Yarrowia lipolytica: one gene and its partner. The protein of the gene in region 2 interacts with the protein of the main gene of each other region in a pairwise test. Links are inferred from orthologs where the notes say so. Each region holds a gene or a part of one and is shown on either strand. Other genes may lie near its edges. The genes, in order: YALI1_D05633g and YALI1_E32445g.

The links.
Region 1: the proteins of YALI1_E32445g (region 2) and YALI1_D05633g interact in binary tests that used the Saccharomyces cerevisiae proteins (3 or more experiments, as listed by UniProt). The link is inferred for Yarrowia lipolytica from reciprocal best matches to the Saccharomyces cerevisiae genes PTC7 and SEC14.

Annotation. Positions count from the first base shown.
Region 1 is NC_090773.1:561,115-565,965, forward strand, and holds YALI1_D05633g (uncharacterized protein), read right to left. Parts: upstream 3,264-4,851; coding exon 3,246-3,263; intron 2,781-3,245; coding exon 2,773-2,780; intron 2,248-2,772; coding exon 795-2,247; downstream 1-794. Other genes in the region: YALI1_D05692g (uncharacterized protein), read right to left, coding at 4,749-4,851. UniProt on the Saccharomyces cerevisiae protein: Required for transport of secretory proteins from the Golgi complex. Catalyzes the transfer of phosphatidylinositol (PI) and phosphatidylcholine (PC) between membranes in vitro. Essential for viability and secretion.
Region 2 is NC_090774.1:3,242,951-3,246,420, forward strand, and holds YALI1_E32445g (uncharacterized protein), read right to left. Parts: upstream 1,618-3,470; coding exon 589-1,617; downstream 1-588. Other genes in the region: YALI1_E32423g (uncharacterized protein), read left to right, coding at 1-479; YALI1_E32461g (uncharacterized protein), read right to left, coding at 1,894-3,180, 3,201-3,470. UniProt on the Saccharomyces cerevisiae protein: Protein phosphatase which positively regulates biosynthesis of the ubiquinone, coenzyme Q. Dephosphorylates and activates the ubiquinone biosynthesis protein CAT5/COQ7. Also dephosphorylates CIT1 on 'Ser-462', which leads to its activation.

The DNA of each region.
Region 1 (4,851 bases), on a different chromosome or scaffold from region 2:
TACATTCGATGTAGCAAGTGCGAGCAGAGAGACTCTTCAGGCACTAATAACGGCGGTCGGCAACTATCGAACGAACATATGTATTGCTCTTAGTCTTTCAATCATTGGTTTGTTGAGGAATAGTGGAAGCAAGAGTTCTGCGAGAGGTACTTATTTCAGTGTTCCGAGTATTCCAGAGATATGAGAACTTGATAACTAGATATTAAAGGCTCTAGTTCTTAGCAGATATTCACGAACATCTACCCCGTGTAGTATTAATTTCCTAAGATAGTTCCGTTTTGGTGCTTACGCTCACGTGGTGTTCGTTGGGATTTTTGTTGGATATTACTTCAACAATTACTGGAGAAGTCATTGGAGAGAGCCGAACGAGTTCGCATATCCGAAAGACTGTGAATAGCACCCGAAGTCGCATACTGCGCTACGATGACTGGAAAATCTGGTTGTGGCTCTCGATCATGTTAAGCCTGACCACAAGAAAACACTCGCAGTGTTTTTTAATCACCCGTGAAACACGAACTACTACAAGGAGTTACAGTTCAAGTAAGATCAGTATCGAGTGTACAGTGTACAGTAGTAACTCCATGTTTGTACACACAACTGACGAATACTCTCCCTTTAGCGCGAGCGGGAACACATCAAATCACGATTCACATACTTCTACCGTATGTACTGTACCTCTCGTTGCTATCGACTAGTTGCAGCTACATGTTACCGAATCATCTACAAGCTCCACCTAACGCGATTTTCTAATTTCAGGTCAATAAAAGTACTCCAATTACGTGTGTTTTTTTGTCTTAATGGGGAAGATGGGCATCCTCATGGGGACCGGCGGCAGCCTCGGCAATCTTGGCGACCGTGGGGACTCCCTGGGTAACATGCGAATCAGGAAGGGGCTGGGACACTCCTCCTGTGGCCACCTGCTGGGGCAGCGAGTTGAGCTGTGCGAGCTGCTCGTCGGTGAAGGCATTGGCCTGGGGAGCAGCCCCTCCCTTGGTCTTGGCCTCGGCGGCCTTCTCAGCCTTCTTTTCATTCTGCTCCATCATGGCAAGCATTTCGGGAGGGAACGAGTTGGTCTGAGGTGCAGCAGTCTTGCCGGTGGGGGCAGGGGCAGTGGCGGTCTTGGCAGCAGCGGGAACGGGAGCCTTGGCGGCCTGGGCAGGAGCAGCCTGGGCAGGAGCAGCCTGCTTGGAAGAAGAAGCTCCAGCAGCAGCAGCAGCACCGCCAGCAGCAGCAGTTCCAGCTCCGGCAGCGGCAGCAGCAGCTCCGTTACCGTTGGCCTTTGCGTCAGTGGCCTTGTCGTCAGCACCGACCTTGGTGGAAGCAGTGGACTTGGCGTAGGTGGAGGAGTTGGAGACGATGGAGGGGGCACCGGTGGGTCGCTCACCAGCCACGGGGGCCAAGCCCTCGGGGCCGACAAACTGGGGATCTCTCCAGGGGCCGTCGTCAGAGAGTTCAACACCGATCTTGGAGGAGGACTGGCCGCCAAACTTGATGGGTAGGTTGTAGGCGGGGACCTGGGCCAGGAGCTTCTCCTTGTAGTTGGAGCCGTACACGTGGATCTTGGACACGGTGACGGGGTCCAGGAATCGCTTGATGACGGAGAAGACGGTGGAGAAACCAAACGGCGCGTTAATCAGGTAGAACTTACCCATTCGCTCGGGGTAGTAGTTCTGGCCAATGTTGGAGGCATCCTTGAGGAAGCCGTAGACCTGGGAGGCCGACGACAGAGAAACTCCCTTGAGATCAAGAATGGTGCATGAGGTCTCAATGAGATGTCCAACAACTCGAGAACAGGCGGGCAGTCGGTGTCGAACAAACGACTCGTACTCCCACACGAGGTTTCGAAGCATTCGCTCCTGGGTGGTGATCTTGTACATTTCGTGGATGTTCACCTTACCCACGTTCTCGACGTAGACGGGTCGGCCGTCCTTGTCGGTCTTGTGGTAGTACTGGGGGTACAGCTTGGCCACCTCCTTCTTCTCCTTGTACCAAAAGTCCTCCAGAATTGTGTTGGTGCCGAACTCCTTTCTCCACTTTTCGCAGTTCTCCCACATTTCTTGGGCCAGAGGCACATCGAACTTTCGGGCTCGCAGGAACCGCAGCAACGTGGCGTCATCGGTTCGATCTTCGTAACCCTTGGTCAGCAGGATCATCTTAAGCTCACCGAGCTTCTGCTCCTGCTCGGCTGTCAGGTTACCGGGGTAGCCGGTAGGTCCACCAGGGGCGACCTTCTGGGGATACGATGCGCTGAGTTAGTAATCTATTCGCGAGTCCACAGTTATTGTGTCTCCTATCACTTTTTTTTGACATCACCGAAAGCGGCTGGGCATGCAGGTCAATCACGGTTGAGAACAAAGGGAATAATTTTGGATGACACAAAACGCGACCTGGGCGACTGGGACCATTCGCAGAAAGGGGGCAACACGATTTCAACGCGATAAGGCGGCTTTTTCAGAAGCTCAATCGCTCAATCGCCCGCCCATGTTATGTCCGAGTCGCGCGCTAAATCCGAAAGGCAAAATAAATCCGACAGATGGCGTGGGAAACTAACTTTTGGGAGCTGTGTGTCGAAAGGAATGGAGTCGTGTCAAGTAGAGTGGTGTGAAATGAGTCTCCCAAAAAAACAAGTCCTCAAATAAGTTGTCGAATGTAAACGCCGCATTGTCGTGGGTTGTCGTTTTTAAGCCCCATTTTGTGTCATTCTTGTTGTGCCACTTTTTGTCTCTCCCAAATCCCCATCATAAATGTCTCAGTCCAGTTGGGACTACTCACAGAAATTCCTGAGTTAGCGATGAATCAATGATTGGATATGAGCATAGCATATCCCGACACTGGGGTTGCCACTGGCATGACCATTGCACCTCCAGCTGTCCGAATTCGCCCGCACCCGCCAGGCCAGTACGGCTGTTGCTTCCACGTATGTCATAAGGTGCATGACGCGTAAACACAGCCCCATAAGCGCGTGTTAGGGCGGGAACTCCCCATGAAGGCAGGTACAACAACCTCCAGAAGGAAAGAACACAACACCGAAACTGGATATTGAGCTCTCGTTTCGCTATTGTCCCCAGCCCCTAATGTGCTGGTTTGGTGCCGTTGTCGTGCTCTCAGCATGTCGTTGCTCAGCTGTTTGCTGGCGTCCCCTGAAAAAAAGCCCTTGGTTGCGACCTTGACAGTGGTGGCGGTCGTGGTATCTCCCTCCGTGCAACCCGTTGCTGCCACCGCCCGACAGACATAAACACACTCACTTGCTCGGTAACAGTCATTTTGCGTCTCAATCAATTGTGTATCGTGGACCTCGAAGAAAGCAATGCAGACTTTTGGAGGAAAGAATCGTAAAAACGTTGTAATGTGGTTTTATGCAATTCGAAACTCCCAACAACGTGTGATTGTGGAATTTTTTTTTAATCTGGCACAACAACGTTGACAATCTGACAAGAGAGCAGAAGTCTATATACGCCCTTTGCGAGAGAAGAAGAAAAAAATAGTGCGGCTTTTAGCTCACCACACACTCCTTCTCCATCAAGGGTTACATTTGGCGCTGCGGGGATGACACGTATCCTGAACGAAGACCTTTGTTCGGCGTTCCCTTCTCCCCCATTCAGACACATTACATTCCACTCTCAAACAATGACGGTTGTCCGAGGCCTCAGCTCCGATCTCCCGTGTGCTTACTAACTGCAGTCCGGAAGAAGACAGCCTTTTGTTGTTTGTTTGGTCCGAGAAACCTTGAGGGGCCTGACGTGGACCCTTTTCTGGCTTTGGGCCACAGCAATCCAGCAATCCAGACCTGCAAAACGGCTGCCAGACATTACAACGACTAGTTCAAGTACAGTATGTACCGTAGTTTTCTGTGCGGCTACAAAGTACCAGGCGGCTGACATTAGAGGTGGTGAGGCGGCTCCAAGACCCAAACATCTCGGCTCCCGTACTGTGTGATCTGTGTATGCCGACAGTGTGCTGTAGCGTCTGGTGTATCTGGTGTCCATTCTTGTAATTAACACTACCATATCACGCTACAATGTCTAAGGAGAGTTGTGCAACGCCCAATCACTTCAGCTCATCACATGGCTCTTATCCGAGACATGGTTAACGTTAGCAGATGTACCCAAAAAAAGTAGCCAAGCCTCCGGTGAATTACATCACGAGCTCCGAAACGTGTCTTAAACGGATTGTACACTAACTATAGACACGCACGGATGTTCCGTCTACAGCTCGCTCTGAGACTATCTTTCTAGAACAGCAGGCCGCAGCCTGAGAGCTGCAAAGAGACCCGGCCGCAGCAACACAAGCACAGGTAACAAGCCTCAGACACGACAAGCGAGCCGGATAATTACTGGTGCTGCCATTGAGCGGCCAAACTTAGCTACACGTGCAATGGATGAGCTCATAGAGTTGTTGCTCAAGGAGTAGTATCCAAACTTTGCCCAGTAGGAGTAGATGGCCGCACTATCTGCCTGATGAAAGAGCCTTGTCAATTGGACTGCTGTTACTCTCTTCATTCATGTAAGAACAAATCATTGCGTTATTCGAACTACAGCAATGGCATGGCGCTATCTCCGACCACGATACGATACAATGCATGCTATTGTATAATACTATGTACTGTAAGTCCCAACGATATACACCAACCGGTATGTATGTACATAATCAGGCAGCGATAAGCTTAAAGATACAGTAGATGGTGAGTTGAGTCACTGTTAAATACATAAATCCTCCACAGCCCCTTCACAACCCCTTCACAAACTTTTCTACCGGAAGTGAGGCCGCACTCGTCGCTCCTTGGGCCTCACAGTCTTGAATCTAAGTCTAGTAATCACCGCGGGCTTGAGGTCCGGCCGCAGGTGGTGCACC
Region 2 (3,470 bases):
TTTCTGCCTCCATCGGTTCAGACAAACTGGCGATCCGACTGTCCCCCTGGACCGACGTTCAGGACGTCGAGGTTGATCAGGTCAACACGCTCCCCACTTTTGAATACATCTTCCGTCAGCTCCAAAAGCGAGCAGACAATGGCCAGAAGCTAGCCTACGTGCATCTCATTGAGCCCCGAGTCAATGGCACCAAGACCAAGCGGGAGGATATTGCGTGGCAGACCAACGAGCCTTTCCGAAAGATCTGGAAGGGTCCTCTTGTTCGAGCTGGAGGTTTCACTCGAGAAACTGCTCTCGAGGCTGCGGCTTCTGACCCCCTTACTCTGGTTGCGTTCGGCCGATTCTTCATCAGTACTCCCGATCTCGTTGAACGACTGGAGAAGGACGAGAAGCTCAATCCTTACAATCGAAAGACTTTCTACTCCTCCGGTCCAGTTGGATACATTGACTATCCCACTTACGAAAAGGCCAAGTTGTAGACAACCATAGACACATTTGAATAATCCAATGCCCAAATTATGTATTTTTGCAGCTATGTATACCGTATGCAATGTGAATGTCCGCCTGACTGATTTAGGCAGAGTCTTTTTATTCATTGACAATAACAACAAGCACTGTGATATCGTCGGGCTTGCCTCCCATGTAGTGCACTTTCATCACCTGCTGCACCTCCTTGGCAAACGGAGAAAGATGCTGCTTATTGGTGCTTAGCGACTTGGCCTTTAGCACGATTCGCCGCGCTAGATCCATGGCACCCTTGTGTTCACCGCTGGACTTGATGCCCTCCTTGTCGTCCTTGATCCACGATCCGTGCTCCAGCATGGTTTCGTTGACAATCTTGAGGGTGTCCTGAGCGCTCATGTTGTCGGTGAGACCGTCAGTAGCAAGCACAATGACATCCCCAGGCTCGGCAGTGAAAGAGAACTGATCGGCCATTGCGGGAGTGTCCTCAATGTGACGCAGACCCTGTCGTTCATCACTTCGCTTGAGTTCATCAGGGATGATAGCCAGCTGGTAAGGGGTGTTGAAGGCATGAGTCTGCGCTTTCGAGCCTCCAGCAAGCTTGCCGTTACGGAAAACCATGAATCCGGAGTCTCCGAGGTTGGCAACAGCCACCTGGCCGTCCTGACCAGCGACCCCAATGCATGCTGTGCTTCCTCCTGCCTTGACGGTCTTTTCCCGGACAATCTTGTTGTAGGCGTTGGTGAGCAGCTGTTTGGGGGAAATGAGTGAGGCTAGGGGCTTTTCAGCGAATGCAGGCTCCTTCTCGATCTCCTTAGCCTTCTCCACAGCCAGATTGGAGCTCTCGTGGCATAGGTAGTAGCTGAAATCGGAGGAATTGACTCCCATTTCTGCCCAGCCGCCCACGCCGTCGGTGACGCCAAACGCCGTGTTGCTGTATGTGTATGAATCGGGCGAGTCCGTCTTGCTCAGCGAAACATGGAAAAATGCATCTTCTCCGGTAGGCGGTCTGTTTTCTCCAGCCGGAGGTTTGGACTGCTGGTGAGGTGGCCGGGGCTTCGCGCTGTAGGCCTCGGCGATTGTGTAGCTGAGAAAGCGCCTAGAGAAGAGTGGCTTCAGAAGCTGGATTCGGGGTAGTCGGGTTGGTCGGAACATGGCTTTTGTTAGGGGGGCCAAGTGTAGGATTTATCCAGGAACACACCTCACAGTTTCACAGTCGAATAAAAATAGGCTCTCCGAAAAGAAATGCTTTTAGAGTTGAGGTGCGTGCACACCAACAGCAGAGCACGGACACCCAAAAACAAATGCATGTGGGAGCAACTGTAGAAAGACACGGATACGAGAAGTGCTAAAAAAGCTGATCAGATGTGTACAGTGAGACCACTTACGTTACACACTATTGTAGATTCAAACAGATACTCAAAACATACATTACTGATAGTTGACACTTTCGGACGAGGCAGAGACTCTGATATCGTCCACCTTGATGTCGTCTCCCTTGATACTCTCCTTCCTGTCGGTGGTGTTGTCCTTCTCGGCTTCGATACACTCCACGGCGGAGCCAACTAGAATGATGCCGTTCTTGTGGCAGATTCGCTTCTCATCTCGCTTGTAGAAATAAAGAACCGCAATACCTCCAACAACGCAACCGAAGGCACAGGCAGCACAAGTTGCGAAACCCTTGGTAAATCGAGGTGATTCCTCAGTGGGGAAAACCAGAACAGACACCCATGCCTGGGTGGACTGGCCCATCATATTCATGGCCACAATCACAATGGCATATGCCTGTGGATCGTGTCTCATAATGTCACTAACCCAGCCGAAGTAGGATGGACTCATGGACCAGGACGTGTATTGTAGACAGAAGGCAAACCACTTTGCAGCTTCCGACACGTCCCATACTGCCAGAATCACGCAGCCTATGAAGTTGAGGGTCTGGGTGATGGCAATGGCTCCCCATCGACATTTGAACATGTCTGCAAAAAGAGATGCCGAGTAGACGTACACAAAACCAAGACCTGGTGCCACAGACGACAACTGGTTAATCTTCTGGTTTGTGTATCTCTGGTTTCCTTCCGAGTCCGTAAGACTTTTCAGCCAGAGGATGAAAGAACCAGATGTTCCACTATTGTTGTTGAAGAATATGCAGGCCACCAGTACCAGTAGTGGCATGCGCCAGGTAGTGAGGAGAGGTTTCCAGAGCTCCCAAGAGAAGAACTTCTTCTTCTCCACCGCGGTAGTTTCGGTAGCATATGGTTTCATTCTTAGTCGACATCTTCGGATTTCATCGTCCGTCAAAAACAGCGAAACACATTTGTCTGGGGTTCCTGGAATGACAAAGAAGCCAATGACAGCCAGTGGAAGAGTTGCAATGGCGTCCACGATGAACACCCATCTCCACCCCTCAAATCCTCCAACTCCATCTAGATCAAGGGCTGCACTAGCCAGTAGACCCGAACTCAGCAGACCAAGAAACTGGCCCATGTAGAAGAAACCTGCTCGGCGAGCGACCTCAGATGGCTTGTACCACGAGCCCATGAGGAAATATGCAGTTGGCACAAATCCAGACTCGAAAACTCCAACAAAAAATCGAATCACCTTGAGAGCTGCGACAGAATGGATCTTGCAACACAAGAGAGTCATGATACCCCAACAGAGATCCATGGCAGGAATGACAATATTTAGCGGCACTTTGGGAAGCATGAACATGAAGGGAAGCTGGAAAACAACTCTCCCACCAGGTACATGGCCTGTACATTGACCAAGTCGTTACCCTTGAAACCCAAGTCTTCTCTCATACCGCTGACATAAGCATTGTTGACATTGGTCTGGTCTAGATACTTGACCCAGTAGACTGCCAGAGAGTAACATGTCAAAAGGAGATCGAGCTTGAGAATCAATTTCTTGTCCTCCTTGGTATCTCGTTCGTCGAACCACTTGAACCACTTATGACCGGATTTCTCGTAGCTGTTCTGTCTGTACTCATACTCATCAAAGAACTTCCACCA